Drosophila melanogaster: one gene and its partners. Changing the gene in region 3 together with the main gene of any one other region gives a genetic interaction. Each region holds a gene or a part of one and is shown on either strand. Other genes may lie near its edges. The genes, in order: Dab, stj, cac and comt.

What was found.
Region 1: of cac (region 3) and Dab, changing one enhances a phenotype caused by changing the other (phenotypic enhancement), as found in Drosophila melanogaster (one study listed by BioGRID).
Region 2: of cac (region 3) and stj, changing one suppresses a phenotype caused by changing the other (phenotypic suppression), as found in Drosophila melanogaster (3 studies listed by BioGRID).
Region 4: of cac (region 3) and comt, changing one enhances a phenotype caused by changing the other (phenotypic enhancement), as found in Drosophila melanogaster (one study listed by BioGRID).

Annotation. Positions count from the first base shown.
Region 1 is NT_037436.4:16,711,304-16,718,344, forward strand, and holds the start of Dab (disabled), read left to right. Parts: upstream 1-2,356; 5' UTR 2,357-2,908; coding exon 2,909-3,017; intron 3,018-4,137; coding exon 4,138-4,208; intron 4,209-4,269; coding exon 4,270-4,866; intron 4,867-4,927; coding exon 4,928-5,534; intron 5,535-6,303; coding exon 6,304-6,537; intron 6,538-6,718; coding exon 6,719-7,041. UniProt on the Drosophila melanogaster protein: Together with Abl, involved in embryonic neural development. May have a role in eye development. Acts as an adapter protein for SH2-domain containing proteins during sevenless (sev) signaling.
Region 2 is NT_033778.4:13,803,005-13,810,108, forward strand, and holds the start of stj (straightjacket), read left to right. Parts: upstream 1-3,180; 5' UTR 3,181-3,598; coding exon 3,599-3,714; intron 3,715-3,792; coding exon 3,793-3,874; intron 3,875-4,727; coding exon 4,728-4,832; intron 4,833-4,894; coding exon 4,895-5,171; intron 5,172-6,270; coding exon 6,271-6,665; intron 6,666-6,909; coding exon 6,910-7,104. Other genes in the region: Cpr50Cb (cuticular protein 50Cb), read left to right, coding at 621-737, 1,359-1,451, 1,834-2,130.
Region 3 is NC_004354.4:11,980,421-11,987,780, reverse strand, and holds the start of cac (cacophony), read left to right. Parts: upstream 1-2,693; 5' UTR 2,694-2,886; coding exon 2,887-3,104; intron 3,105-3,865; exon of another isoform or gene 3,866-3,945; intron 3,946-6,604; exon of another isoform or gene 6,605-7,018; intron 7,019-7,360. Other genes in the region: gd (gastrulation-defective), read left to right, coding at 95-307, 351-510, 575-731, 811-1,362, 1,485-1,998. UniProt on the Drosophila melanogaster protein: Voltage-sensitive calcium channels (VSCC) mediate the entry of calcium ions into excitable cells and are also involved in a variety of calcium-dependent processes, including muscle contraction, neurotransmitter release, gene expression, cell motility, cell division and cell death.
Region 4 is NC_004354.4:13,257,216-13,265,377, forward strand, and holds comt (comatose), read left to right. Parts: upstream 1-1,805; 5' UTR 1,806-2,030; coding exon 2,031-2,039; intron 2,040-2,120; coding exon 2,121-2,209; intron 2,210-2,287; coding exon 2,288-2,506; intron 2,507-2,579; coding exon 2,580-4,208; intron 4,209-4,289; coding exon 4,290-4,448; intron 4,449-4,516; coding exon 4,517-4,649; 3' UTR 4,650-5,273; downstream 5,274-8,162. Other genes in the region: CG15742 (uncharacterized protein), read right to left, coding at 409-1,020; HDAC4 (histone deacetylase 4), read right to left, coding at 7,767-7,821, 7,915-8,048, 8,118-8,162. UniProt on the Drosophila melanogaster protein: Required for vesicle-mediated transport. Catalyzes the fusion of transport vesicles within the Golgi cisternae. Is also required for transport from the endoplasmic reticulum to the Golgi stack.

The DNA of each region.
Region 1 (7,041 bases), on a different chromosome or scaffold from region 3:
TCTAATAACTGGTTTGCTTTGTTGTTGTTGATGTATAAAACAACTGGCGATCGATCGCATAGACTTTTTGTTACCAATTGTGATCCAATTTACACTTTTCTCTTCGTTTTATTAATTTTCAGCTGTCGCGACTGCGCTGCAGGTAAAAATAAGCGACGCGCGCAGTGGAAAAAGAGGAAGAACGACTGGCGTAGGCGTCCGTAATGAATTAATTCCGTTATTTTTGATAACACCGCACAGAGCTCGTAATCTACGATTTGAGTGTTAATTTTTAAGGTGAGTTTGATGGAGGCGCGACACAAACGAAATAACGCGACAATCCGCGATAAATATTCCGTTCCGTTCGAATAGAGTGACCGCAGCAGACTGCGAGCAAAGTGACCGTTGCAAGGTTGTGGTGCAATATTTTTCGATGTCTTGCTATGTTTTTGAGTTCTCTTTTCGGCCGTAATGGCGCCACTGTTTTGTGGAGAAATTGCTTTGCAGTGTGACCATCTATTCGATTGTAGAAAATACCAAGAAAATTTAAATCATCATTTAAAAAAGGATCTTCAACGGTTATACGAGTTTTAACGACATAATATCTTGATAGCTAATCGAACTTTAAGGTACCCTTGGTATAAAATCTTTACATTTTTTTTTTCTATCAAAGCTTAACAGAGAAATTTACTATTATAGTTTCAATTTATGTCAAACCTTTGTATAAACATATGTAATTGTGTGTACCGCAAGTACGAGCAATTACCTATCGGTTGTCGTCGATAGACCGATAGCCTATGTACCGGCTGGCGTACAGGGTGCCCGCGGCACTTGACCCACCACCCTCGAATCCTTGGAGTTTTACTATCGAATTTTCGGTGTGTGTGCATATCCTGCTGCTCCCAGGGCGTAGGACCCAAATTAAACTACAAACCCATTCAAATTGGGTTAAATTAATGGCCAATAACATGCAAAGCAGGAAGAACGTAAAAATCAGCTTGTAAATATTTGCCAAAAGAGTCGAATTGGTTTTTTCGCTCAGCCAAAATCACGAGTGTGTCACCCACTTCTTTGTGCTTCACTTTTTTTCCTGGCTGCCAGACAAAGAAAGCTGCGCGTGTTGTGCAATATTAAGACGGGAAAGGATCAAAAACAACGAATAACAGTTAATTGAAGTTAGATAGCTTACCGCTGCATAATGAAAGGCGTAGCTACATCCCTTTCCCACCCCCCACAACGCCTTAAAGTAGGCAAAGTGGAAGTAAACACGCACACAGAGGCCCCCGTTGGAAAATCGATAATCCGTGCCGTGTCCGTGTGAGCGCGTGCGAGTGTGAGTGAGACAAATGCCGGTGTGTTCTATCGACCGACTGGCACAATAACAACAACAACAAAACGCTGACTGTCAGGAAGTTGGGGAGTGCGAAAGAGACGGAAGACGCAAAGAGCGAAACAAGTGTAAACAAATCACAAAAGGCAATTAGCAATAAAACAACGAAGGAAGTCCAATAAATCATAAATAAATAAAGCTCTTTAAGGCTCAATCATTATTCGCAACATTATACGCGGCCAAAGGAATTACTACACGAATGCCAATCAGCTTTTTCTGAGCAAAATGCAGACGCTGCGCAAGAAAACGAGTCCTTGTAAATGTAAGTAATACAAATAACACCTTAAAACGGAATTTTTTCATCTATAAAGTCTTTTTAAAGTAATTCTTCTTGTGGGAAGAAATTTTTTTTCTTGAAATTTTTGCTAGTGAGGAATGATGAAATTATCAACTAAAAACGCAAGCCATTCACATTGATTTAAATTGCAGTGTTTTATGTCAACAACGAATTTATTTGGTATTGTCAATTGAATTAGGGTATATTATGTATTTTGAACACAGGCATCCCTACTTCGAAGTTCTAAAGTAATATTTCTGAAATCAGTAAAAGAAAAACTGTCCTAAATTGTTTCTCTTTAAAGATACTTTGCCCTTTTAACAGCACTGCATATCAAATTACACTCATACGCCATGTTGTAGAGACATGATAGACCTTTTCTAGGTGGTAAATATTTTGTCAGTCAACTTTTCTACTTTCCTTCCTGCATCTCCCTCGCACTTCTATTATCTGCGTAATTCGACCATAGCGTTCTCCTTTGTTTACTTAAAAAGCTAATCATACTTATGAGCAGGGACAAAGTAAATTCCTCACCATTAAGTAAAACTAAACGTTTTAGGTTTATTTCTGGCCGAAGCTAGCTTTTCAAATTCCGATATATCCTATTGATCGATCCCTCGATTCAATGCTAGACCCGGCTTATCGATAAGCGTCTCAGACAGCATCCGCCAATCGAATAGCAGCTGCTGCGCCGGCGTCGCAGGTGTTGCAGTTTTCCCAAAAAAGATCAACAATGGCCGAGAGAGCTGCTCGTTTTCTGTACTGTATTTTGCGCCACAAAAATCACTAAATAATAGAGTGAAATCTATGTGTACACACGAGTGCCTCAAAGAGTGTGTGTGTGTGTTTTTGTTTATTATTTCAATTGAACAAACTGCGACAATCCAGTCCAGTCGAAAAAGAGAGTCACCGTGAGAGCATTCGAATCGTTTCCACGCTCTCATTCGCTTTTATTCATTCCATGATCGCGCATCGTTCTCCGCTAGAATTTAATTAAATCTATAGCGTCGCGAAAAATCGTTGTGGAATTTATGTATTGTTTGTCCCCCATTGTGTGCCCCCTCCAGCACCAACACCCTCTCGTCATCGTCCGCGTCCCAATGGAAATGTCAACACACACACACACAACAGAGAGGCCCGGAATGCTACACTGATTCTGTTGACACTTCGGTGACCAGAGTTCCAGAATTCCAGAGTTTTTCCAGCCAGCGTTTTCCCAATGAGCAGGAGCAGTACCCACTGAGACTTCGGCCGGGCGAAACATGGTCAAGTCCCTGGTGGCCAAGTTGTCCACAGCCTCCTCCAATCTCTCGTTGGCCAGCACCTTTGGCGGCGGCAGCGGCGCGGCAGAGGAAACGAATTACGCAAAACGTTAGCGAAAACAAACTAAGCAAATACACAAATAACAAACAAACGAACACAGTGGCCCCTCCGCAGTGAGAAAGGGCAAACAAAACCAAGATACAAACATATGCGAAGATCACAGTGAAAATTTTTTTTGATATTGTGCTGATAAGACGAAGCTATATATAAAAAATCAATATTGGTCCTATCACTATAGCAAATTGAGATTTACTAATACAATAAATGCTGATATTCAAAGAATCGAGTTCTTTATAAAAAAATCTGAAGATAAAGAAGATGATCAGAAGAAGTTTTTCAGTGTACATACATGTTTAAAAATCTTTTAAATTCTACTTAGACGTTCAAAACTGTTTTAGCATTCAGTATAAAATTGTAATAAAGATGCTTCGGAAGGCAAAGAAATAATAAAACTGTTTTTAAATCATAGTTCCCAGCGGAAGGAATGAAAAGTGATGCGAAATATTGAATAGAACAATGAAAGTCTTCTTGATCTTGAATGAAGATTTTTAAAATTTCAAATTTGATATACCACAATAAAAAATATATAATCCATATAGATTTTGCATTCCATCAAAGCATCATTTTAAATATTGGATGATCCAACGAGGAACACAAGTGTTCATTCAAGCACATAATTACTCGAAAAATTTGAAAAATGAATCATTCAAAATATTTTAATGGGGATTCGGTCCAATAAACCCAGATTTGTGCACAATCCATAGAGTTTTGTCGAAATGGATTATACTTCTTTTGATAAACTAATGAGTAATTAGTTTGCTTGCCATTTCATCTTATATTGCAAATATTAAAGCATTTTCTTTTTAATTTCGGACTAGATGGTTTAATTATATTATAGTTCCGTTTCCTAAATACTCCTTTTGTAACTTTTTTATGTTTAAATTTTTTGAAATGTTGCCAAAATTTGTAACAGTGCTAAATAAAAACGTTCATAAATGTGGGTTCTCTCAAAATAAATCAGCCACACCCCAAATCCCACGGCTTCCAAAACTGACGAGTGACCACTACACTCTGTAAAACATTTTCGCCAAACCAAAATTATCCGAATACACACCTTAACAAACACAAAGACTCATTTTGGCATTCGATTCTTGGGCTCATTTTCCAGATCGCAATGATCCGGGACGCTTTTTCGGCGATGGCGTTCAGTTCAAGGCAAAGCTCATCGGCATTCTGGAGGTAAGAGTTTACTTTTTGGATAAATTTCAGTATCTAACATTGTGATCTTTCGAAATTTAAGGTGGGCGAGGCCCGAGGTGATCGGATGTGCCAGGAGGCGCTGCAAGATCTCAAAATGGCCATCCGGGCGGCTGGAGAGCACAAGCAGCGGATAACCATCCATGTGACCATCGATGGTCTGCGGCTGAGGGATGAGAAAACGGGTGACTCCCTGTACCATCATCCGGTGCATAAGATCTCCTTCATCGCGCAGGATATGACTGACTCGAGGGCCTTTGGCTATATCTTCGGATCGCCGGACAGTGGTCACCGGTTCTTCGGCATCAAGACGGACAAGGCGGCCAGCCAGGTGGTGCTGGCCATGCGCGATCTCTTCCAGGTAGTTTTCGAGCTAAAGAAAAAGGAGATTGAGATGGCGCGCCAGCAGATCCAGGGTAAGTCCCTGCACGACCATTCCAGCCAGCTGGCCTCCCTGTCGTCGCTGAAGTCCTCCGGCCTGGGTGGCATGGGTCTGGGCCACTCGGATTTGGCCAGCGGAGGAATCTCATCCGGCCATGCCCTCACCCTGCTGGGCAGTAGTCTTAGCACCACGAATGGAACGAGCAGGCTGGGCGTGAGTCTTGACGTGGCCAAGGCATCCGGATCGGCGGCCAAAGAGGTTCGTTACCCAGTCATATGCTATTTCAAACTATTTTTCATTACAACACTATATTTTATAGGTCTCTCCGGAATCCGTGGCCGATCTTGTGGACTTGGAGCAGGAGCTTACCTCGCTTCAGCGGGGAATCAGTCAGATGGAACGGATAACGCCAAACGAGCCGACCACCAGTAGCACTGGTGGTGCTGGCCATCCATCTCTAGCGAAATCAGCCAGCGAGGACGATCCTTTCGGAGACTCGTTTATCTATGTGCCCTCGTATAGCATACTGCCACCGCCACCTGATTCCGGACGCAACAGGCACAAGCCGCCCAACAAAACACCTGATGCGGTGACCAGTTTGGATGCAATGCTTTCGCCACCTCCTGGTACAAGTAGCTCCCACGGCTCAGCCTCCGCTGGACTACAGGCTGCAGATAACGACGATGACAACTGGCTGCAGGAACTGGACCAACAAAATGATGTCTTCGACACGTCCAAAGTGGTGAGCAGCAGTGGATTGGGTTCGGTTTTGGCCATGGCTCCGCTGGCCTCCAGCGAATCCACGGCCACTCCCACCCAACAACTGACGGAGGTTGCTGCAGGATCTGGACCTCTGGCTGATCTGGATATTGGACTAAGTACGGCCTTGGGAAATGAGGAACAGACCTCCACCATTTTGTCATTGGGTGAGTTGAAAAGAGCATCGCTCCTCCTACTTTTCCACATCATCGAAATTGTCGCGTCTTGTGTGAAATTTGATCGCTTTGTCATCTCCATTGAAGCGATAAAAGAGCTGTCTGTGATCGTGTGGGGAGTGGTCAGTGGAACTAGATGTGTCCGCCCGGCAAGGGAACAATTGGTAGTCTTCTTGGGTCAAATTAATTGAACTGAATGGAATCTTCGGGGGTAAAACATTTAACAAAATTTAGATTTCTTTGTAATTATACAAAACCTGTGGAATAATAATTAGTAAAGCTAAACAAATGTAAATTATACACTGAATGTGTAAAGAAACTCTTAAAAATCTAAACATATATTTTGTATAGTTTTGAAAACGCCTTCATTCTTTATTTTTTTTTTATGTGACTTATATTCTTATTATTCTCCAATCTTATTTTGTTTATTAAACATTTTAGGTTTGTCCCCTCTTTACGTTACTTTTTTAATCTTAGTTTATTTGTGGTTTTGGTTAGTAACGTGCTCATCCTATATTCAAAGCTACTTACAACAAATTAACTTATATGTCTTTTAAATAGGGATCTTCGTTTGTGGATTTGTTGTCTTCGGAACTTACCGAAGATATAAGCTTTCTTCTTCCATTTCTTCTGAGCTCTTTGAGTTTTTCTCCTGTTTTTGATTTTGTGCCAAATGCGAATTCGGAGTCTCCGCTTGGGAGCTGCTCTCATTGCTTGTTATCCCTGTCGTTTTCCTGATCCCTTCTGTTCCATTGTTCAGATGCGTTCACGGATTTGGATCCGCTAGGCACAGGACGCACCAGGCCGTATGTCGATAAGAAATACTTCTTCCAAGAGCTGAAGAATCCGCCGAAGAAGCTGCTCAAGGAGCTCAGCTCCGGCAGCCAGGCGGGTCTCGGTCTGGGTCTCTCTCTGGGTCAGTTGGATGGCCTCTTTCCGGAGGATAGCACCACCATCTCCACAACCACCACCACAGCTACTAACATCACCGCAGGTACTAACCAATCGCAATTCCAACACCATTATTGCACAGAGAAAAAAATCATTAACAACTGAAATGCATATTCTTTATTACGATAAACGAGTTGTGCATCATTTTTGGCGAAATTTTTTCTCTGTGCAATTAGAAATCGCCTTGAGTAAGCAGCTATCTAAAGTTTGCACTTGCACCGCAGGAAATCCGCAACAGAACTCGGCTAACACACTAACATCCACCGCTAGCACCGCCGCCAGTCTGGGACAGCTCCTGTCCACGGTTGCTCTCAATCCCGATCCGCTGCCCGCTCCCATTTCCATACCCACATCTATTTCCCATTCGATCACCCCGAGCGCTGAGCTGAAACTGTTGCTTGGCCATGTCACTAATCCACCTAATCCCACCGGCCACTATTATACCACAGAACCGCCAACGCTGAACTCGCTGGAGAATCCCCATCCGCCGGCGGATCCCGTACTTCTGCCCAGGGATACGGATCCGTTCTCGCCCACTCGGAAAAAG
Region 2 (7,104 bases), on a different chromosome or scaffold from region 3:
TTAGATGACAGGCAAAAGCCCCGCGGATTGGCCTGGCCAAGTGGTTATGGCAACTGGTTGACCGGCGGCTGTCGGCCAACTGATGGATGGCTGCAATCTGACATGTGGATGGGTTGACGAGCTCCCGTCACCACCAACCAACTAACGTCCAACATCGTTGGCCACCATGTGCATGTGTCAATTAGCCGTGTTTAAAGAGCGGAATCGCGGAATCGCAGAATCGGCGGCAGATCGCCACTAACCTCCGCCATTTGCTGCCCTTTTACGGGCGATGAGCAAACGCCTTTCGGGCACGTTCTAAATAATTTGCCGCCTCTTTGGCTGAGGCTTCTGCTGCTGATGCACCTGCTACGCCACGGCTGAATGTCAGTCGCGATCTTATCGGAGCTTCTACATCCATTTGCAACCGTTCACTTTTCAGTTCGCCCTCTTAATTTGACCTTTAAGTCACTGATATAATGTCGCACCAAATGCCCGGCTCTTACACCGTGAAAAAAAGTTAGATATATGAAATTGAATAGAAAATTACTTCACACGAAAACTTAAACTTAATGTTAATCCAGACATAGTTTCTTCTATGTTCAGCTTACTAAATTAAATTCCATTCGATTGTCTTGCAGAGCTTATCCCTCGCTGCCATCAGTGCCTATGCCTACGCCCAGATCGCCCCTGGCTCCAACGCGTACCTCCCGCCCACCAAGAATGGCTACGACTACTCGGAACCCAAGACCCCATTCGTGAGTATTGCTCCCATCTGAATTATCTAGCTAAGTATGTGGGGGTATGTCGATATATGTGTGTATGGTGGCATGTGCCTATCTGGCCGAATGGCCTGGCCAACCGCCTCAAATTGAATCCCAGTCAACGGACTAATTACGGCCATCATTCTGGGAGCAGTTGCAGTCACAGGCAGTGGCAGAGGCAGCCAATTCCAGTTGGATCCAGTCGAGATTTGTCGCCGCATTTATCACCCGGAGTGCTGTGGCTCAACTCAATAAATGCGGCACGTCATGCTGCTGAATGTCGGCCCAAAATGATGGCAACATTTCGAATTGGTCGGTCGGTGAAGGGCTTTGGCTTTGGCAGTTGAAAATGAATGGAAGTTAACCTTTCGAGATCCAACCGAACCAACCGAACGACAACCGATCGTTGCGAAAATATCACAATGCAGGTGAACTTCCATAACGCGAAGTTCAGCAGTTCAAGTTTTCCGAAGCTAACAATAAATATTTGGCATCACTAAGACAGTGTAATTCACTTCGACAATGAGTAATGAGCAGTATTTACACCCCATTTGGAATTTTTAGCTATTTCATTTTTGACTTTTCCATTTGCTAAATGGTCTGTAACTCCCACAGAAGCCCGGCCCACCTGGAAGACCAGCGGCACCTGGACCCCGGCCACCCGCACCTCCTGGCACTCCCCGCAACATACCTGGCCAGCCAGGCGATGTGAGTATATCTTAATCATCATAAACCGCAATCATCAGCCATTGAAAAGATCAGAGATCAGTGGTTAATGAACCATTGTAATGCGTTTGCCATAGATGCATTTTTATTCCAATTTGATGTTCAACATAATGTTCACTCAGCCAACGAGTGTAGGATCAAAGATCAGTTTGTCATCGCAGAGATACATCTTTATTATGATTGCCAGAAATAATCGTTATGAAGATACAGATACAATTAAGATTTGAGATTATGTTGATTTATTTCTCAACAAAAACTGTGCTTGTTAAATTAGAACTGACTTCTGTAATTATAATTCGTAATTGTATTTTTAGTTTTTTATATTTTTTTACTGATCATGCCTTATCCATTATCCCAAATGCAGGACCATGTCCACGTGCCCGGCATGCCGTACGACTTCGAGTACGCCGTTCAGGATCCGGAGACCGCCAACGATTATGCGCACAAGGCGTCCAGTGATGGTGACGTGGTGACCGGCGAGTACCGCGTCCAGATGCCCGACGGAAGGACCCAGATCGTCCGCTACACCGCCGACTGGAAGACGGGCTACCACGCGGACGTGAGCTACGAGGGCGAGGCCACGTACCCGCAGGGACCACAGCCAGGAGCTCGTGGCGGCGGCGGCGGTGGTGCTGGTGGTGCCGGCGGGTACAAGTACTAGGCGTGGGTGGTGCTTCGACTGGGTCAGCTGGGGTCACATATGTATCTTGCGAAACGTGTAAGCCTTACGATATACCAATAAAAAGTATTGATAAACTAAAGCGACCACTGCTATTTGATTTCCGGAACTACGGTCAAGTCTGGAGCTTTACGATTGTTGGAATTCCAATTAGGTACATATGTATAAGGCGCGTTTACACTCGCTTATCCAGCAGCCAAAAAAACTGGAATCGGAAATTGTTTGTGAGAATTGAGTATGATAAGAAGAATTTATCGATAATTAGTCAAAACTTGTGAACTACGACCACTCTACGAATACAGAAAGCACATTCTTCCAGAACCACGACAGCGTGTATATTTAAAGTTAAACAAAATCACCAACGCGAATTGCATTCTACGATATTCAAACGGAACAGGAGTGATAAAGCTTTAACTTAAGCTCTATCCTAAGCAGTAAAACAAAAGTTTCAAGCACAATCTTTTGTTCCGTCCGGTCTGTGAAAAAAAAGAATTAATCTCAACTTTTATTTCTTATCTTGAAATGTAAGCATATGCCGAAGTCGTACAATACATATGTACATTCAGCAGTAATTCATATTATATTGTATATTAGTATAAATCTGAATATTCTTTAAACGCCACCTGGCGGTTACTTTGGCAAGTGAGTTTGAATCCAACTTTTGGGCAAAGTAGCCCGGGTTCCTAGTGTGCTATGTCCTCCCAGCTGGAAAGCTTCACCTGCGGCCAACTGTCACCATTCGCCAGCTGGTGCAACAGATGCTCGGCCAGCTGGAAGGACACGCACGTCAATCTGGTGGAGGCGCAGGCGCGTTGGCAGGTAAACAAACACCTGTAGCACTCGCGGCGAGGTAAACAAGTGCAGGGCGCAGATGCGCCAAATGTCAGGGCAAGCGCACTGGGTGGAAAGAAGAGTGCGGCAAATGGCCAAAAGCGAGAGACAAGGGTTGTCCCTTTTCGGCTAAGGTATGTTGGGCAAAAGAGCTTTAAGCTGGCCCAGAAACGTTAAAAGAAACGTCAAAACGGCCACGACAGTGTAGAGAGAAAAGTTTTCGCTGGCCAACAACACACACACACGGAAAAGTGCTAGGTCGCGCGATAAAACTGTGGAAAATTAATTTAGAAAATTGGAAAAACTTAGCAAAATACAATGTACAGTGCTTGAGTGACGGCGAGTATTGAGTAGCAACTGAAGGTATCCCCAGTGAAGACGCGGGTGGTATGCTACCGGATGGCCAGGGCAGGTGGCCAAAACCGAGCTAACGGGATATGTGGTGCAAACGTGGTGCGTGCGTGTTGCCTGTGAGTGTGTGAATGTGTGTGTGTGCAGGTACAAAGTAGGCTAAGAAAATCGCAGAGCCTGGTATTTATGTCGCGCTCCCGCTGGATCGACCACCATCATCAGCAGTTACTAGATCATTGGACACCGAGGATAGCGCTGCTCAATCATCATGGCCTGGTCCCGTCTCCTGGCCTGGTGGCGCCTCTGCTTGGGCCTGCTCTCCGTTCTGGTCTGTTTGGCACCGTGCGTCAATCTGCAGCCAGCCGAGAACATCAACTACAATCTGTGAGTTTTTCCGGACATTGGTCATTTTCCCTGAATATTCCGACTATCGAGACTAACGCCACCATTTTCCACATCCAGCGTTCATTCGTGGGCCGACAAATTGGGCATGGAGCTGTTTCATCTGGGCGATTTCATCACCAGGCGCAAGGAGGTGCAAGAGGTGAGCTACCGAGAGCATATTATTGATTTTTCCGCCGCTCCGTTTTCCTCCGTTTTCCCCACTCCCCCGAAATTTTCCATGCGCCCCCCGCTATTTATGTGCGCGTGTGTGTGTTTGTTTTCGGTTCTGTTTTTGTGCGCTCCTTGTTGACGTCTCTCTGAGGCTGAGACTTCGGCTCCGAATTTGGGTTAAAGGCCGCCCGAGCGGCAATTATAAAAATTGTAAAGCACCAGCCAGATGGGAAACTGTGCGGCAGTGGGTCGAAGAGCCAATGCTCTCGAAAAATCTATTTAGTTAGCTATTAATTATCCACTTGATTTCTAAATATAAACAATGGTGTTCATTAAAGCAGGGAAGTTTTAATGGGGTTAGTAGGTCAGTCAAGTATTTATTATTTAGTTTTGTTTTTTATTAACTAGCTATGCCTTCATAAATAAACCAATTGCAATAGTTTAGTTATTATATAGATTTTTTGATATTTAATAGATGTTTCTGAGGTAGGGTATCCAAACGACTATGCTTAGCCATCTGCAAATCCCCTTCACCCCATATGAGGTCAGTTTGCTGTCCGGCACAGCTGGTTATTTATTTTTAGGCATCGCAATTGGATTTACAAATTAAATGTTTCTGCCCCACGATTTGTAGCCGCACTTGTGCCAACTGCCTATAGTATTCCATATGCATGTGAATGGGTTTGTCTATAGGCCCTCGGGGGCCTCTAAGCTTGCTTAGCGGGGTGGTTCCGCCTATAATTTCTGGCCACGTACTTATGACATGGCAATGGGTTGGTGAAATAGAACCATTTTTCATTTAACATTCGGTTAATTCATATATGTACTTGGTTTTCCAACAGAGTTTCAAGGATGCAAAGGTCGTTTCGCGCAACGGCGCTTCTATTGTCGATTCGATGGCCAAGGAAATCGAAATGATGATGGACCTAAAAGTCAGTGCAGTGAGGGTAAGTAAATCCACGCACTAATAGACAAGGAAATCCTCTTAAAAAACCGATATCATCCCTAGCGAATCATGGACACGGCTGAGAACACGGCGTTGTCGCATCAGAACGACATGGCGGACAAGATGTTCTCCTATTATAGTGCCAAGGAGATGCTGGAGCCCGGCGATCCAGTCCCGCCCATTCCCACACCGGCTCCCGACATGGACAAGGATATAGGCGAGCCGCTGATCTACGTCCAGCCGAAGGTGGTGGTGTTGGAACCGCGTCCGGAATTCCACAATACTCCGGTCAACTTTAGCGTCAGTTCGGTCCACGTGCCAGTCAATGTGTTCGATCGAGGTTTGGAATGATTATCATCGTTGTAATCCGTATATCTCTTTTCTCCGCTCTACACCTATCTCTCTCTCTCTCTGTATTTCTATCTCTCTTTTGCTCTGTGTAATTGTAACTGAAATTGCCGCCTGTCTGTGTTGTTCCTATTCAACGACCCTGTTTTTAAATGCTATGCGATCGAGTTTGGGGATATTGAATTGCGTTCATATTTGAAATCGCGAATAAGATAAAAATTTGAGATTTTTCTGAAATAATCTTGAAAACTATTGTGTTGATCATCACCAGATCATAAAAACTTATTGTATTATTATTATTTTTATTATTTTGTATCCTTACGATAAAAGATCCTTGGATTATACGAAAGCTCCAGACTCGATCATCAGGGTTGCATTCAATGCTTTCAAATCAAACACAAGCTTAAAAACGAAACACTCTTTGTCTCTGTCTAGCTGCCAAAAAAGTAGAGCCTTGAAACCGCCTCTAGCTAGCTAGCTCGCTCTCTATCTATCTCGCTCCTTAGCTTTCTGCTAGATCGCTTGACCCTAAAATTTGTATTTTTTTTGTGTATGCCATATAAGCCTTATATTGTAATGTGAAAATTATGATATGAAGCCGTAAGCTGCGCCTCCCTAATCATTTTTTTCCGATTTCCAAACTGCTTGCGTCAATGCGTGCGAGGAACGCGTGCACGCGTCAAGCAGCGCATTGCGCCGCCCGGCCCACCCACCGTACCTAATGGTCCGCCGAACTTGACCTTGGCGATCCTCCCCGGCCGATGGCGGTGCAATGCGAACGTTGACGACGCGCTCGCGTTTTACGCCAGGGAATGCTCAAAATATGCTATACAAAAATATTTTAAAGCGAATGCTCCGACACACGCGGAATGCTTGCCAAAGACCGTATAACACCCAACTTGTGCCACCAGAACACAAACCTAAATACAAAAGAAAAAAAATAGAGCCCGTAAAACTAAAGCTAGGATTAAGTGCTCGTCAGCAGACGAGAAGAACTAATCGTGTTTCTTGCAAAATTCTTTCCGTTTCTTTCGACACAACCAAAAACACAAAATCCATAACACAACTAACACTCGATTACATTGACACAGCACCGGATGTGATAAAAGCAATTCAGTGGTCGGAGAATTTGGATCAGATATTCCGTGACAATTACAAAAACGATCCGACATTGTCGTGGCAATTCTTTGGCAGTTCGACTGGCTTTATGCGTCAATTCCCTGCATCGAAGTGGCGAAAGGACGTACCGGTCGATCTATACGATTGCCGACTACGCTCCTGGTACATGGAGGCGGCGACGAGTCCGAAGGATATTGTTATCCTGATGGATGGATCCGGTTCAATGTTGGGACAGAGGCTAGATATCGCAAAGCATGTTGTCAATACGATACTCGATACATTAGGTACAAATGACTTTGTGAACATCTTCACCTTTGATAAGGAAGTGAGCCCAGTCGTCCCATGTTTCGAAGACACACTGATTCAAGTATATATCGATTCTGTTTATGTTTATCAAATTTCTCTTCATTTAACGCATATTTGATTTCTTCTATCCCCAAAAAACAAAAATTAATAACGAACATCACCACCAAATCCGAAATCTCAAAACAACAACAACACACTCAATTGATGCCACCGAATACGAATACAAAACACCAATCAACCAATCAATCGAAATCCCAAAAAAAAAAAAACAAAAAAACAACACACCCGATACTCACCATATCCAGGCCAATCTGGGCAACATACGCGAACTGAAAGAAGGGATTGAACTGTTTAGACCCAAATCGATCGCCAATTATACCGCTGCATTGACAAAGGCATTCGAGCTATTGGAAGAGACCAAGTTGAGTTCGCGCGGGGCGCAGTGCAATCAGGCGATCATGATCATTGGCGACGGGGCGCCGGAGAACAATCGCGAGGTC
Region 3 (7,360 bases):
CCGGACTGTTAAAGCTTCGATCGAAATTGCGGCATTGTTTACGTTTGTTTTGAGTGAAAAGCATTTTCATCCCGGGCATTCCCAGACACTAGCGATGAGGCTGCACCTGGCGGCGATCCTGATCCTCTGCATCGAGCACGTAACCAAGGCAGTCGCCCAGGGAATGCCGATCAGTCCGTGCCCCAAGGTGTTTCAGTACCGCTTCGACGGCAGCGAATGGTTCGGCCTGATGGCCGTGCGCAGTCCGGATGGCCACCAGCCGCTCCACATACGAGTTACGCTCTCGATGCGTGGCAAGCCCACCACGGTAAGTGGTATATTGTCATCCAGATGTTACCTAATCCCCTTAGTACACACAGAACTATCTGGGCGAAATCGAGCTACTCACACGCGGCAAGTTTACCCACAATGCACCGGTGCTGTATAAGATCCGCTTTCCCAAACATCACTTCCCGCCCAAACTGCTCCTCATGTCAGCCAACAATCATGTGATCTGCTTCGGATCCGGCGGTGCGTATCCACGGAACTTGGGTAGCAAACGATTTAATCCATGACTTGTTTGCCCGCACCACAGAGCACAGCATCTTCATGACCCAAATCCAGTTGGAGCACATTAGGAAGTTGTCCTTTATACCGGATAAGAAGAGCTCCCTGCTGCTAGATCCCGAGGAGGAGGAGGTGAGAAAAACCGACGACAAGCCGCCCAGTACGCCGCACATCCAGTTCAAGAAGTATGCATCCGGATTTTGGTCGGTTAAAACACACACACGATCGTGACATTCATTCGTTACTTAATGTCCGCTTTTGTAGAAAACCCTTTGCCCAGGCGCCCAAGGAGATTTGCGGACGCATCGACAGGGATCTGGACTTTCACTTGTCCCAAAGAACGGAATCACTTCATGTCGCAATCGGTGAACCAAAGAGCTCCGATGGCATCACATCGCCAGTTTTTGTCGATGACGATGAAGACGATGTCCTGGAGCATCAGTTTGTGGACGAATCAGAAGCAGAAGCGATAGAAAGCGATAGCGCCGATAGCCTGCCATCGATCACCAGGGGATCGTGGCCTTGGCTAGCGGCCATCTATGTGAACAACCTGACCTCCCTGGACTTTCAGTGCGGCGGTTCGCTTGTCTCGGCACGCGTTGTAATCAGCTCGGCGCACTGCTTCAAGTTGTTCAACAAGCGCTACACATCCAACGAGGTGCTCGTCTTTCTGGGCCGCCACAATCTGAAGAACTGGAACGAGGAGGGATCTCTGGCGGCCCCCGTCGATGGCATTTACATTCATCCCGACTTTAACAGTCAGCTGAGCAGCTACGATGCGGATATCGCAGTGATTATACTCAAGGACGAAGTTCGGTGGGTGCCAATATGCCTAAAGCTTACATATTCAAGATTTAGATTCATATCTAAACCGCGATGTGAAATCGAATATGAAGATCATTTATTATATTGACAGTATACCATTATTTTCAACGCAGATTTAACACCTTTATTCGACCCGCTTGCCTGTGGTCTGGTTCCAGCAAAACGGAGTACATTGTGGGCGAGCGGGGCATCGTCATCGGCTGGAGCTTTGACAGAACGAACAGGACGCGGGATCAGAAGCTGTCGTCGGAGCTACCGGGCAAGAAGTCCACCGATGCCAGTGCACCCAAGGTAGTAAAGGCTCCCATTGTCGGCAATGCCGAATGCTTTCGAGCCAATGCCCACTTTCGCAGCCTATCCTCAAACCGAACGTTTTGCGCCGGCATCCAGGCGGAGGAACGAGATACGCATCAGAGCGGGGCGAGCATTTACACCGGTATATCGGGGGCCGGACTTTTCATCCGCCGGAACAATCGCTGGATGCTGCGTGGCACAGTATCAGCGGCCCTGCCCGCCGTAGAGACACCGGATGCGGAATCTAGCCATAAGCTTTGCTGTAAGAATCAGTACATTATATATGCCGACGTGGCCAAGTTTCTGGACTGGATCACGGCCTTTGTAATTTGAATCACATCCGAAATGTGTATGGGAACGCATTTCTAAGTGAGCGCTGTGATAATAGCCCCTTGGGCATGGCGATGGGCAAAAGTTACTCGGAGTAATTAGCGGTTATCGGTTTTTTCTTTTTTTTTTTTTGCTAGTTTCATTACGAAAACTTCTGATTATGGCATTTCAGTTTTATTTTTATCTAAGACAGTAGGGCAATTCAAATAATAAATTATGGCACGGGAAAGCCAAAAAGGAATTTTCCCATAGAATCGCTGCGCTTTTAGATCTCCACCATAATATTAACATTAAAAATCTCGAAATTTGCAATGTTTAAATTCCTCTGACCACATATAGAAAACGTGTATGTTGAAAGAATCACAGGTATGTTTGATATCGAAATTAATTGTAATACAGTAACGTTTACCATGCCTTTGTTATCAGTGTGTTGTTGGCGCTCGTGAACAAAGGAAGCTGCTAATATGCCGGAGTGGGCGGCCTGGCCCGTCTGAGCGGCGTTCACCCATGGACACCTGGACACCCTAATTACCAGCGGCAGACACTGTACTGCGCAAATGCTGACTACTATCAAGCACGTCATCGCACGTCATCAGCCGCAATCGTCGTCATCGCCATCTGGGCCGTTATCTATCTTGCTGGGTTGTTGGGGCATCGACAGCAGTCGTAGCCATCGACTATCAGTTCCGTCCGGACCGTGGCAGCTGGTGCATCACACCTGGGGCTCTGGGCCCGTCGTCTACGGACATTCGCAATCGTTGAAGATCCCCAAACAAGTGCAACGCATTGTATTGTGAACGTGCCCGATAGTTGGTAGTGAATATATTACAGAAATGGCAATATTTGGAGTACATTTCGCGTATTGCAAAGTTCGATTCATCGATTCCCAGAATGCTGGGCGGAGTGGGAGCTCGTCGCCGAAGGGGCTCATCTCCTATGGCGCGATTGACCATTAGCAACATCAACGGTCTGGATGACAATATTGCCATCATCGGCGATGGCGTCATCCGGCGGAGCACGCACTACGGCTCGCAAGGGTCTAACAAAAGGCGCCGGGCTCCGGAAAGTTTTGCTCTTGTCCAGACGCGACCGAATCTAGGCGACCTAATGTGAGTACCACTACCAATTTAAATATAAATTATTTAAACTTAACATTATTTTAAAAGATCAATTGATATTTAGAAAAGTATTGAAAATTGGTAAAAATTCATTATTATTAAAGATAGTATGCAAAGGTAATTGACGAGGGTTATTGAAATGTACAGAGATAAAATTAAGTCTGAAATAGAGTAAAATATGTTGTTTGTTTTATATATTAATTAATTAGGTCAAGTATGAGAGCGCCTTTGATCATTTGTAATTCGGTTAAAGCCGGGTTTTCAAATAACCGATATCTTGATGCAAAAGTTTTTACTACAAGGGGTTGAAAGTATTCTTAAAGCTTAAAGCTTTATCAACAATTGTGGCAGTAGTAAATCAATTACTTAAATCAATTAAAAAAAAAACTCTTAGAATGGGTAAGTAGCTTAAACTTCGTCGCTTCGCTTTTTTTTTAAACTTTAGCAGTATGATTTAAGCCCGGATTTTAAAACCGCGATTTCTCGAAAGTTCGATAGTTTTGTTCCCAAGGGGTGAAGAGCAAGCGGAGCTTAAAGCTCAATCGACGACTGTAACGGTCCTAGGAGCGGGTTTCCTTGGAGGACACGCATGCGCTCTCCTCCGCACTGGCTGGCCAGTGTGTCCACCTCCGATTGTCCGATTGAGCTTGAACTGAAGCTTGGACCAGAGCTTTCGGGCGGATGCAGAGCGCAGGGCTGGTAGATTTTTTTCCCCATATTTTTGCCCTTTGTGCGTGTGTTTGGACCCTGGCGATGTGGTAGTATGTGATACAAAGTCGCCGAGTTGAAGTCTTGCGTTTTGTTGAGTTTTTCGTCCAACTGGTGAGACAAAGTCGGTGGTGACAGCTCCCGTAGAAGCGGTTTTTGTTTTTTATTTTTAACTCGGGACCCAGTCAATTTAACAGCAAATGTGCGACAACTAAAATGTGGCTGAATACAGAAGCCTGGCGTTAAAGAAATCAAGTGAAAATCACTCGCAATGCGGGGTTAAAAGTGCTGTGAAAATTCCACATTTCGAATGTTGTGTGCGCTGGCATCCGAATTCGGGTCGAGTGGTGAAAATAACACTACAAACATCCAAACCAAGAACAAGAAATATAGTCGGAAAAGCGTGAAAATCGTGAAAAATCGTGAAAAACCCAATGGCAAAACGTCGAATTGGCGACAATGGCGGCGAGGACAGCAAAAATAGCAAGAAAAGATATCGGGAAACCAAGTGAAAAGCATTATTCGGGCTTACTGAAGCCAATAAACGACCTCTGATTGTGCTCCTCCAGGCAACCAGATCTAATTTTTATTTTTAGCCACATTCATATACATATATATATGCGTTCGTTTCAAATCCCAATTACCGAAGCTATCCTTAAAAACCAGTTGTAAAAGTTAAAGTTAACAAGCCCCACGAACGCACCACACACACACCAACACACCCGCACGAATATACATATCCATATACATATACATATACATATACATATATATGTATAGCCATATATATATACATAGTTGTTGGGATTGGGTCAGCGGGTCGGTAGCACAACGGGCGGAATGTTGCGTCGGTGGTGCTATATATTGCGGTGGATGGAAGTGGAAGTGGATGTGGCAAGAGGCAAGTGGAAAAGCAAAGGCGAAAGGAAAAGCTAAAGCCAAAGCTAAAGCTGAAGGAGAAGGAAAAGGAGATATGGAGTTTTCGGGTGTTTTTTAGCCTATCGGTATATCGTTTATTTTTGTGACGTGTACACGCACTTTCGAGGTGAATGAATTGCGGCGATGTAGCAGGAAGCACCCCCCAAATTAATATTTAAATTAACTATATTCTCAGTCCACACAAATATTTACTAGTCGTAAATTCCCCAACCCACACACACACATACAAATCTACACATGTATATGTTTTCCATACCGGAAACGAATTCTAATGATGGTTCTCCTCTCTTCACGGAAGTGAAAAATTTGTTTGTCTCTGTTCTTTTAACAATGCTCATATGAATACTCGTATGGGGAATTGAATGCGAGCATATGAACAAATATTGTGGTAGTCGTGTGCTCTGTAACTAAACTTATAACGACATATCAAATTTCAGTTAGTTGGTTCTTTAAGCCCAATTAAAAGTGTAACAGTTTCCAGAAAAAAAGAAATAACAAAAAGCGTTAGTTTAGAGGGGGCAACGATGGCAAGTGTGTCATTGTTGCTGTTTATTTTTGGCAATTACAGGTTCGTTGGTCTCACTGTGGCCCGATTGTAGTTAGACACACAGATATATATAGCTTCTGCCCATTCCAAAAACCCAAAATCGTTCCGAAAGACATCGTCAACATAAAAAAAAAAAAAATTTCAGACAACTGTGCCTGGTGACGTCACTAGGGAAAATAGAGCTGGAACTATACAATTGCAATAAATAACAAGAATTGCTTTTAAAGAAAAGACATTGCTTTGCGCAATTGAAAATGAACTATTCAAAATAGGGCAATAGTTAATTTAAATGCAAATGCAACCAGATTTACTGGGCCCTTAAAAGTAGGCAAGCGATTTGTGGTTGCGATGTTATCGTTATCGGTGTGACCCAGTGATTGTTGAAACCAAAGAGAAAGAGTGAGAGAGAGAGGGGGAGAGAGCTTCTGCCGGTACGTGTGTATATGTGTGTGTGTGTGGATGGAATGGAGAGAGTTGAAATTTGCAAATGCCAATTCTTGTTATCAGCCCCGTAAATCAAAACATTTGATTGATCTGCAAATAACTGTAAAGATAAAACCTTGTTCGTAGTTTCACTGCCTTATGGGCTAGTTTGTCAATTCAAGAATACTCCGTAAAAGGTAAACAAGTTTTCAGAATTCTTCCAGTCGGAATTCAGAATCTCACCGTTTCACAACTCACCACAGCCCGTGTATGTGTGTGTGCGAGTGTATTGAGCTTTTTTTTTTTTTGGTGTTCCATACACATGCATTTGTATGTGTGCCAGTCTCTCAGCCTCTGACTTTTTCATCCCCTAACGTTTTTCATTCATGGCGTGTTCCAGTAATGGAATTTTATACCAATAACCGAAATAACCACATCTATCTGCAGACCGTGTCCATAGCCATTGCCAGTCCGAAATGTTGTGGATCAGCTTCTCTACAGATACACCACATATTGGATACAAAAATAACACCAGCCATGCACTTGGCATGCACCTGAGTAACCACATTCCCATACCCATGCCCATGCCCATTCCCATCCAATCCATATGTATGTATATGTTCGTGCGCGAGTGTATGAGCATGTTTTCAATAGGTCATGAACTGAATTGACCCGAGCGCATCATAATTATCGGTTGGCAAAATAAGTAGCACAACATCGAAACACTCAAAGCTAACGCAAAGCCAAGCGAATGAAACAGAGATTCCGGAATCTGACCAGTTTCACTTCAAATCGTAATCAAAATCGAATCGAATCGAGTGTGTGTGTGTGTGTGTGATTTGCATCTAATCGAATTTCGTATTTCCAAATTCAGTTCAAGTGCAATAATAACACGGTGGTAAAGCGTGGAATAGCTAATAAATAATAATAAAAGACAACGATTCAAAAAGCGATAAATACAGCAAAGGAATAATAATAATAAAGTGTACAAAAAACAGCCGAGCCGAAATCAACGATCAAGGGATTCAGGACGAGGACGCGAGTTAAGGCAGTTAAGGAATCGCAGCCGGAATCCTTTAGCCTCCAGCCTCCATCCTAAACAACCGCCACATCCTCCAGTAATCACCAGCAACAGCCATCGGACTCGCGAGCTAAATGTCCAGTTGCCGCTATCGTTCCATACGGACGGCGTGTCACTCCCGACAAATGCGTATTGTGGTTGACCTTGTTTAATATAATTATGGCCGAGCGGTCGTTACAAAAGTATCAGAAATTGGATACAGTGACGGTACGTGCCACCTTTATCTAATTAAAAAATATTATGAATTCAGAATTCCAACAGCTTGATGTCCTGAATCGGGACTGACTTTCCCTTCCCTTGAATTCAAGCTATAAAAATGGATAATAATATTTTTTGCAATTATTTTCCAAACTTAATAGTAAACCACCTACGTAATATATTCCTGGGATGTTTGTTAGTCAAAGTATAAAGTCTCTTTTTAATTTAATTTTATATTTAAACCACAATAAAACAGGGGCATGTAATGTAAGCAAAATATGAAATCTAGACAACAAAACCACCAGCCACATGGCGTATTAGCAATACTTCTATGCATATTTTAGAGAGCTC
Region 4 (8,162 bases), 1.3 Mb from region 3:
GCTACCATCGAACATGGTTCGAACATGGTTCGAACATACATGTGCGCTGTGCAAGCAGTGGTCAAACATATAGCAAGCAGACGCACAAGCAGTTCCACTACACTAGAGGGCTGGATAACATCATTCTCTTTGTTTGCAATTCGGGCAGCGCGGAGGTAAGTCAAAGTTTGTGTTTTGTTGTTGATATGTTATTTATTAATCTCGACATGCGTTGCACTCGATTAATTTAAAGTTAATATAGAAGTCATACGACATCAGAATCACTATGACAGTAGAACGTCTCAGTCCAGGTAGATGCTATCCAAAGAAATGTATATATATCCAAAAGCAAGGTAAAATATCACAGCAGCATCTTTAGTGACCATATTGATATACAAACAAATTCGACCAAATTCTAATTTGCTGACCTTAGCCGAAACGCCAAGTGCGCATATGGTTGATAACTTGATAACTTTTCGAAATGCGCATGCGGGCATCTATTGCAGGAGGATATGGGAGTGAAATGTCCCGAGCTAAACGGCGCTCCAACTGCTCATTGCGGCCGTTGAGCAAATTCTGCCATATCTGGGCCCGCTTATCCAACTGTTGAGCCTGCACGGCTATCCGTCCATAGGAAACGGGCTCATACGCCAGCTTCAGTTGATCGAGCAGATTGGTGAGCTCTTCAATGGCCTGCTGCAGTTTTCTCATGGCACTGTCATGCATGATGAACGTCTCATCGGCTTTGCTGCCGTATTGACATATATATTTCATCCTGACCCAATTGGACGACGCGATACAATTCTTGCGGCGCAATATTTGCATCTTTAGCATGTCCATAAGTATTTCGGCCAGATCGATGGGTGGCAACTCGGCGGGTATCACCAAGCGGATGGCAAAATAATTGGGCCTACTGTACTTGTCCAGGAAGGTGCTAATCACGCCGTCTTGGGCATTACGCACCGAGCGATAGGGCGGCTTAATGCCGCGAACTGCGCCCAGCAAGCAGTGGTCGATCTTATTGCATCGAACTTTTGACATCGAACCGCGGTTTGTCGTGTAAAAAGCGTGTTAGAAATGTGTTTTATTATACAAGTAAGCTGCAATGGCCGTGTTTGTTATCTAGAAACTTTCTCGGAATGGTAACATACGTGTGTACAGAAAGTTAGCGATTGGCATCGTCACTCACCGTCGTAGTACTGGTAAATTGATTTTGCTTCGTCGAACAGCCCGGCAGAAAAATTTTAAAAAATTATAAAATTTTGCTGTGTAAAAGTAAGAACGAGAACAAAATTTTGTTGTGCTCCCAAAAAAGTAAAAGTACTTAATTATCCGAATCAGGTAGCTACACTTAACTCAATGACTACTGGACGCTTAAATACGTAAACTTTCGTCTCTAAATTTCCTCGCACACTAGATTTGAATTTTCGTTCAGTCGGATATTATCGATAAATCGATTATTGTGGACCACGAATTTTCTGGTATAAATGCGGTAGCAATTTAAGACTTCTCTTACCGGAAAATCTTAAAAAATTAAATGATTACATTTTTTGTTAGTAAAAGCCCGGCGAGAATTTATTAATATTTATACATATACAACTTTTATATTAAAGAGCTCTCGAGCACTCTACCAATTTAAAAAATCAACCGCTTGCTTTATAAATTTAATTATTATTATTAAAAAAAAAAATCATGCAAATACGAGTCGTTAGTTATTAAACTTGGCAAAAGAAACGTATATTTAAAAACCAAATCCCATATGGATGTACTAACAAGTTCGCCAGCCCTGGATTCCTAGGCGCATGTGCTGAATAAAATTTTAGATCACATCTTCCTTGAAAGTTCAGAAAGGATATAGTTCACAATTCGTTCAAAAATTAATATATATATATATAGTTATGCTGTTTCAGTGATACTGTAAACAAATATCAAACGTTAATTCGCACACAAAGCTGCGTTTTCTGACCATTAAAGTACTTCCATTGGATTATAATTATTGATTTTTGTCAAATTCTAAACAACCCCGTGAAAATCAGCAAGAATCTAAAGAAATGGCTTATGTGAGTTTGAAATACCAATATTTATAGGCACTACGGCACTATTTTTGACTAGTTACTAAAGATTTATAATGGTTTCCGTAGATTTTGAAGGCCACCAAATGTCCCACGGACGAGCTTTCGCTGACCAATCGGGCTATAGTGAATGTTGGTGATTTTCCGGAGGAAATCAAGTATGTGGTCCTAACGGGCATAAAAGTCCATTGTTTGTATATATATATATATATAATTCCCACTTGCATCGCTTGCAGATATGCGGACATATCGCCGGCTCCGGGTCAGCACTTCATCTTTGCGCTGGAGAAAACGGTGGAGGTGCCCAGCGGCTATGTTGGCTTCTCCCTGGTCCAACGAAAGTGGGCCATGGTGTCCATTAATCAGGAACTGGAGGTTCGTCCCTATCGCTTTGATGCCAGCTCGGATGTCATCACTTGTGTGTCCTTTGAGACGGACTTTCTGCAGAAGAAGACGTGAGTGCATATATATAGTATACGGCGTCAAGGATATTATGTAATATCGATTGTTATCTACCATCCTATGCAGTGTCTCCCAGGAACCCTATGACTCCGATCAAATGGCCAAGGAGTTCATCATGCAATTCGCCGGAATGGCACTCACCGTTGGCCAATCACTGGTCTTCAATTTCAAGGACAAGAAACTTCTCGGCCTGGCCGTCAAATCCCTAGAGGCCATCGATCCCAAGAGCTTGGGCGAGGGCAAGGACACCGCGATGCGTAATGTCCGCTTCGGCCGCATCCTTGGCAACACCGTGGTGCAGTTCGAGAAGGCCGAGAACAGTTCGCTGAATCTGCAGGGCAAGAGCAAGGGCAAGGTGGTCCGCCAGTCCATTATAAACCCGGATTGGGACTTTGGCAAAATGGGCATCGGTGGCCTGGACAAGGAATTCAATTCGATATTTCGACGAGCCTTCGCATCCCGTGTCTTCCCACCGGAACTGGTCGAGCAGCTGGGCTGCAAGCATGTCAAGGGCATTCTACTTTATGGTCCACCGGGTACGGGCAAAACTCTGATGGCTCGCCAAATCGGAACTATGTTAAACGCCCGGGAGCCGAAAATCGTCAACGGTCCACAGATCCTGGACAAGTACGTGGGCGAATCGGAGGCCAATGTCCGGCGTCTGTTTGCCGAGGCGGAGGAGGAGGAGAAACGCCTGGGTCCCAACAGTGGACTACATATCATCATCTTCGACGAGATCGATGCCATTTGCAAGCAGCGTGGCTCCGTGGCCGGAAATAGTGGTGTCCACGACACCGTCGTCAATCAGTTGCTAACCAAAATCGATGGCGTTGATCAGCTGAACAACATTCTCGTTATCGGCATGACCAATCGCAGGGACATGATCGATGAGGCTTTGCTGCGACCGGGTCGCCTCGAGGTCCAAATGGAGATCAGCCTGCCCAACGAGCAGGGTCGCGTCCAGATTCTCAATATCCACACCAAGCGGATGCGTGAATTCAACAAGATTAACGACGATGTGGACAACAAGGAGATCGCTGCGCTGACCAAGAATTTCAGCGGTGCCGAGCTGGAGGGTTTGGTCCGTGCCGCCCAGTCGAGTGCCATGAACCGACTGATCAAGGCCGATGCCAAGGTGACCGTTGATCCTGAGGCCATGGAAAAGTTAAAGGTCAATCGAGATGATTTCCTGCACTCGCTGGAGCATGACATTAAGCCGGCATTCGGTACGGCCCAGGAGATTCTCGACAATATGCTGGCCCGCGGTGTTATCAACTGGGGAGCACCGGTTAGCAATCTCCTCGAGGACGGCATGCTGTATGTGCAGCAGGCCAAGGCTCCAGAATCTAGCGGCTTGGTCTCCGTACTCGTGGCCGGAGCACCCAACTCTGGCAAGACGGCACTGGCCGCTCAGCTTGCCAAGATGTCAGACTTTCCGTTCGTGAAGGTCTGCTCGCCAGAGGACATGGTCGGCTACACTGAATCGGCCAAGTGCCTGCACATTCGTAAGATCTTCGACGACGCGTATCGTTCCATGCTTAGCTGCATTGTGGTGGACAATGTGGAGCGTCTGCTGGACTACGGATCGATTGGGCCGCGATATTCCAATATGACGCTACAGGCACTGCTGGTGCTGCTCAAGAAACAGCCGCCAAAGGGCCGCAAATTGCTCATATTGTGCACATCTAGCAGGAGGTGTGTGTGTGTTGAGATTCGGGATTTCCCTGTCGAGATTACCCAGTACTTACTACTCCTACTTGTTTTATTTTTTTTTAGGGAGGTCCTGGAAGAGATGGAGATGCTGACGGCCTTCACCTCGGTGCTCCACGTGCCCAATCTTTCCAAGCCCGACCACGTTCTGGCCGTGCTGGAGAACACGGATATCTTTAGCAAGGGCGAAATCCAGGCGATTGGCAAGAAGATGGCCGGAAAACGGTAAGCTATATGATTCCAAAGAAAAAGTCCTATAAATATTTACTAATTTACCTATCCATTTCGACCAGCGTGTTTATTGGCATCAAGAAGCTGCTGGGTCTCATTGACATGGCTAGGCAAACGGAGCAATCACAGCGGGCCATAAAGTTCCTGTCCAAGATGGAAGAGGAGGGTGGTCTCGACATGGTGGCGCGGCAGTAAGGCATCTTAAACTGCATGTGCCCAAATGGAGTCTCAATTATTAGCTTCTAAGTGCTAAGGACGGGCGATGAATAGCGATGAAACCAAATCAGAATCTCAATGTACACGTACATATACACCGCTAAACATATACACAGATATATAGAGTTATATATATATATACGATCCAGGCTTCGCGATGTTTGTTCGGTCCCAAAGCCCAGATAAAAATCACAATCCACATCCCGGAGGAGTTTCGTGTGCTTCTGAGTTCCCCCACAGAGCTCAATCAAATCAGACAGATATGTGAGACCCGTGACCTGAAGATGATGGCATATAAATGACATAATATATGGCTTAAATGGACAGATACTCAATTACATTTATAAATAATTAACACGCGTAGCCACTAACTCGTTAAAGGCATGATAATCTTTCTCGTTACCTTTTAATTTTAGGACTTTTGCTTCAGTAAATTCTCAATAGGAAACGAAAAAACGGGAGAAAACACCAAAGTATTTGCCTTTGGGCATTGTGAACGTTGTTTATCGGTAACTAAACTAATTAAATATTTATTAAATCAAATATTGTTAACCGCCAATGTTATAATTATATCTTGAATAAAGTAAAACAAACTTAAATTCCAATTTTAACTAGCTCGCTTTTTTGCAGTTAAAAAAAAAGAAATATTTTTTAAAGTCGGGAGTATTCTTATTCATGTTTAAAAACCTAGTAATCCCATTCAGCTTGCAACCACAGATTACCATTCTGTATAAATTACTTTGAATTCTGAATTCAAATGAAACAGCAATGAAAATAGAACAAACACATTTTGAAAATTCTCTTGACGATTTCTTTGTTTTATTTCGTTTAGAAAAAGCGACACACAATATTACTCTTAATTGTTTCTTGTTTCTCGTTCCTTGGACTTATTTGTGCAACAATAAACAAAATATAAATATTTGATTTCGTTTTTATTTTGCTAAAACCGTTATTTAACTATTTCTCAGCTTACGGAATTATTCATTATTTTTTCCTTTTTTTTGCAGTGCGCAACAATAATATTTCATCTTGTTAGTAGAATCCTCTTCATAATTCGTGTTTTGGTAAAAAAAAAACAAATTCAGGAAAGATAAAAAAAGGTAAGGTAAGGGGAGATCGCCAATTTGCCAAATTATAAATAGAAAATTAAAATAAAAGCACAGATTTAACACAGAGCGTATTGTAACGCTTTTGGAACCCAAGAAAAATTCGTATATATATATTCCTAAGTAACAGCAATTACGTGGCTTGCATACGAAACAGCTTATGTTCAAAAGTATGTTTTTCAAAAAATCTGCTGTATTGAAAAGAGAAAACAGGTGAATAATAAGAAAATAAAAATGGCAAGGGCATATGCTTCGCTTAGATTAATAGTTACATTTGTGATTTCATTTTTTTTTAAGGATAGTTTTTAGTTTCTGTTTCGTTTTGTTAACAATTGTTTCATCCAGTTGGAGCCAATCGGTCCATCTCTCGTTGTGCTTATTTTTCTTGTTTCTCCTCCTCCTCCTCCTTCTTTCCATCATCCTTTTCACTTGCTATATATTTTTGATCCTTGTCTGTTGCTCCTTCTTCTTTCGTTATTGAGGTGCTCCTTTACAGTTAGGTAGCGAGTTAGAGAGAGACGGCTATAGACAGCTAAAGGTACACGAGTACAAATACAGTTACAGCGGTTTTACAGTTAACGGTTAGCGATTGAACGGTTATTTCAGAATTTTTCCCGATTCACGCCTCTCGGGTCCTGCCCAGGACGTATATATGTTTGTGTGTGTATGTGTGTGTGTGAGCGTGGATATTTTCTTTGATTTTGTATTTTATTGTTGCTTTTTTTTTATTAAAATTGTTCTCTTTGTTTTTTGTGTTTTATTTACATATAATAATAGTTTTACTTCATTTCAGACATTTGTTGAACATCGTTATCGTTACACACATGGTGAATACACATGTGCATTTATATAGTTATATATATAAAGGGTTATTATTGTAACAGTTATTAGGTATACATACGTATATAAGATCTCGGCAACATTTAACAACAAATTTTCTCTTATTCGTTTTAGTTTCTGTTTTGTGTGGCGATTTTCATTTTCTCACATTTATTGCACAATATATATTTTTTTTGTATATATATATATATATATGTATATATATAGAATTCTTTAAATAATAGCATGTTGTACTTGAAACTTGCACTAAACTATAAATTGTACAAAAAGATTTCTCAGTTTTTTCGCTTTTCATCCAACTAGTTAGTTGTTAAGTTTTTTTTTTCTCATATCTTATTATCAACTAAAGCATTCTACATAACATGTAATCAACTCCCCACTCGATCTCTGTAAGCGATGGCGGATAAGTGGGCGTGGTGGGGTCTAGACTTGGGAACTTTGAGGTTGAACCTTACCTTATAAAAAAAAACACATGCTTCTTGCACCCGACCTCTTTAAACATTATCTTTATAGCTTACTGATGATGTTCACCAGTACGTTAGTGGTTCTATATCCTTTTGACACACTTACTTAAATAATAATAATAAGATACATTGAGTTGCGTGTGTTTGTGTGTGCGTTAAAATACCTCTGCTCTCACCTTAAAACAAAAAAAAAAAATCTCGATGACTTCTACAACTAAATTCTGAGCTTAAGCTACATATATATTCATATATATATATATTCATATAAAATCTCCTTTTTTTTTGAAAGGATTCTTTTCTAATTATTATAATTATTTCTTCTTTTGGAGGCACAGCCACCATTTTGAACTTTAGGCCCTGTTCTGCTTCTTTTAGACATGTTCCCCTATATTTTCGATGTTTCTCTTCTTTTTGTTTTTTTTGGCGGGGCGGGGAATTGGGATGCTATAATCGATCGAGTGAGAGAGATAGATGTGGCTATAGACGATCAATGACAACGACAACAATTGCAAGCGAGCGCCACAACAACAACAGCAACAACAATCAATTCAACTACAACAAATAACTAAATGTGCATTGAGCAGCTTGCGGCCACGCCCCCTCCTGCCATTCCCACTCTACCAGGTCCACAAAAACCTCGCCACGCCCACCGCCTCCTCTTCCGCAATATACGTCTGCATCGCCTTCTATTTGGTTTCATCCTGATCCATCGGCTCCTCGGAATCATCGCGGGATAGAGTTCTGTAAATTACAAATATACAGGTTAGTTACTCATTCCTATCATCAAAGTATCCACAAAAAACCATGGGCTAATGAACTTGACCATAAACCCACCTGTGCATCGACTGCATCGAGAGGCCAGCCATGGCGTTGATCGTCTCGGACTCGTCGTGCTCCACCTTGAGCGTCTCCAGCGCAGACAAGCCAACCGTGTGCTCCAGCATCCTCACGCAGGGCCAATGCGTTTGCTACAAAAACCAAAGGAAACCAAAAGTTAGCTAGGCGACCAGTGGAACATGCTAAGTTCTCCCATTTACCTGTATGGCTATCGTCTTCTGGAGCGTATTGATGGCATTCTGGCA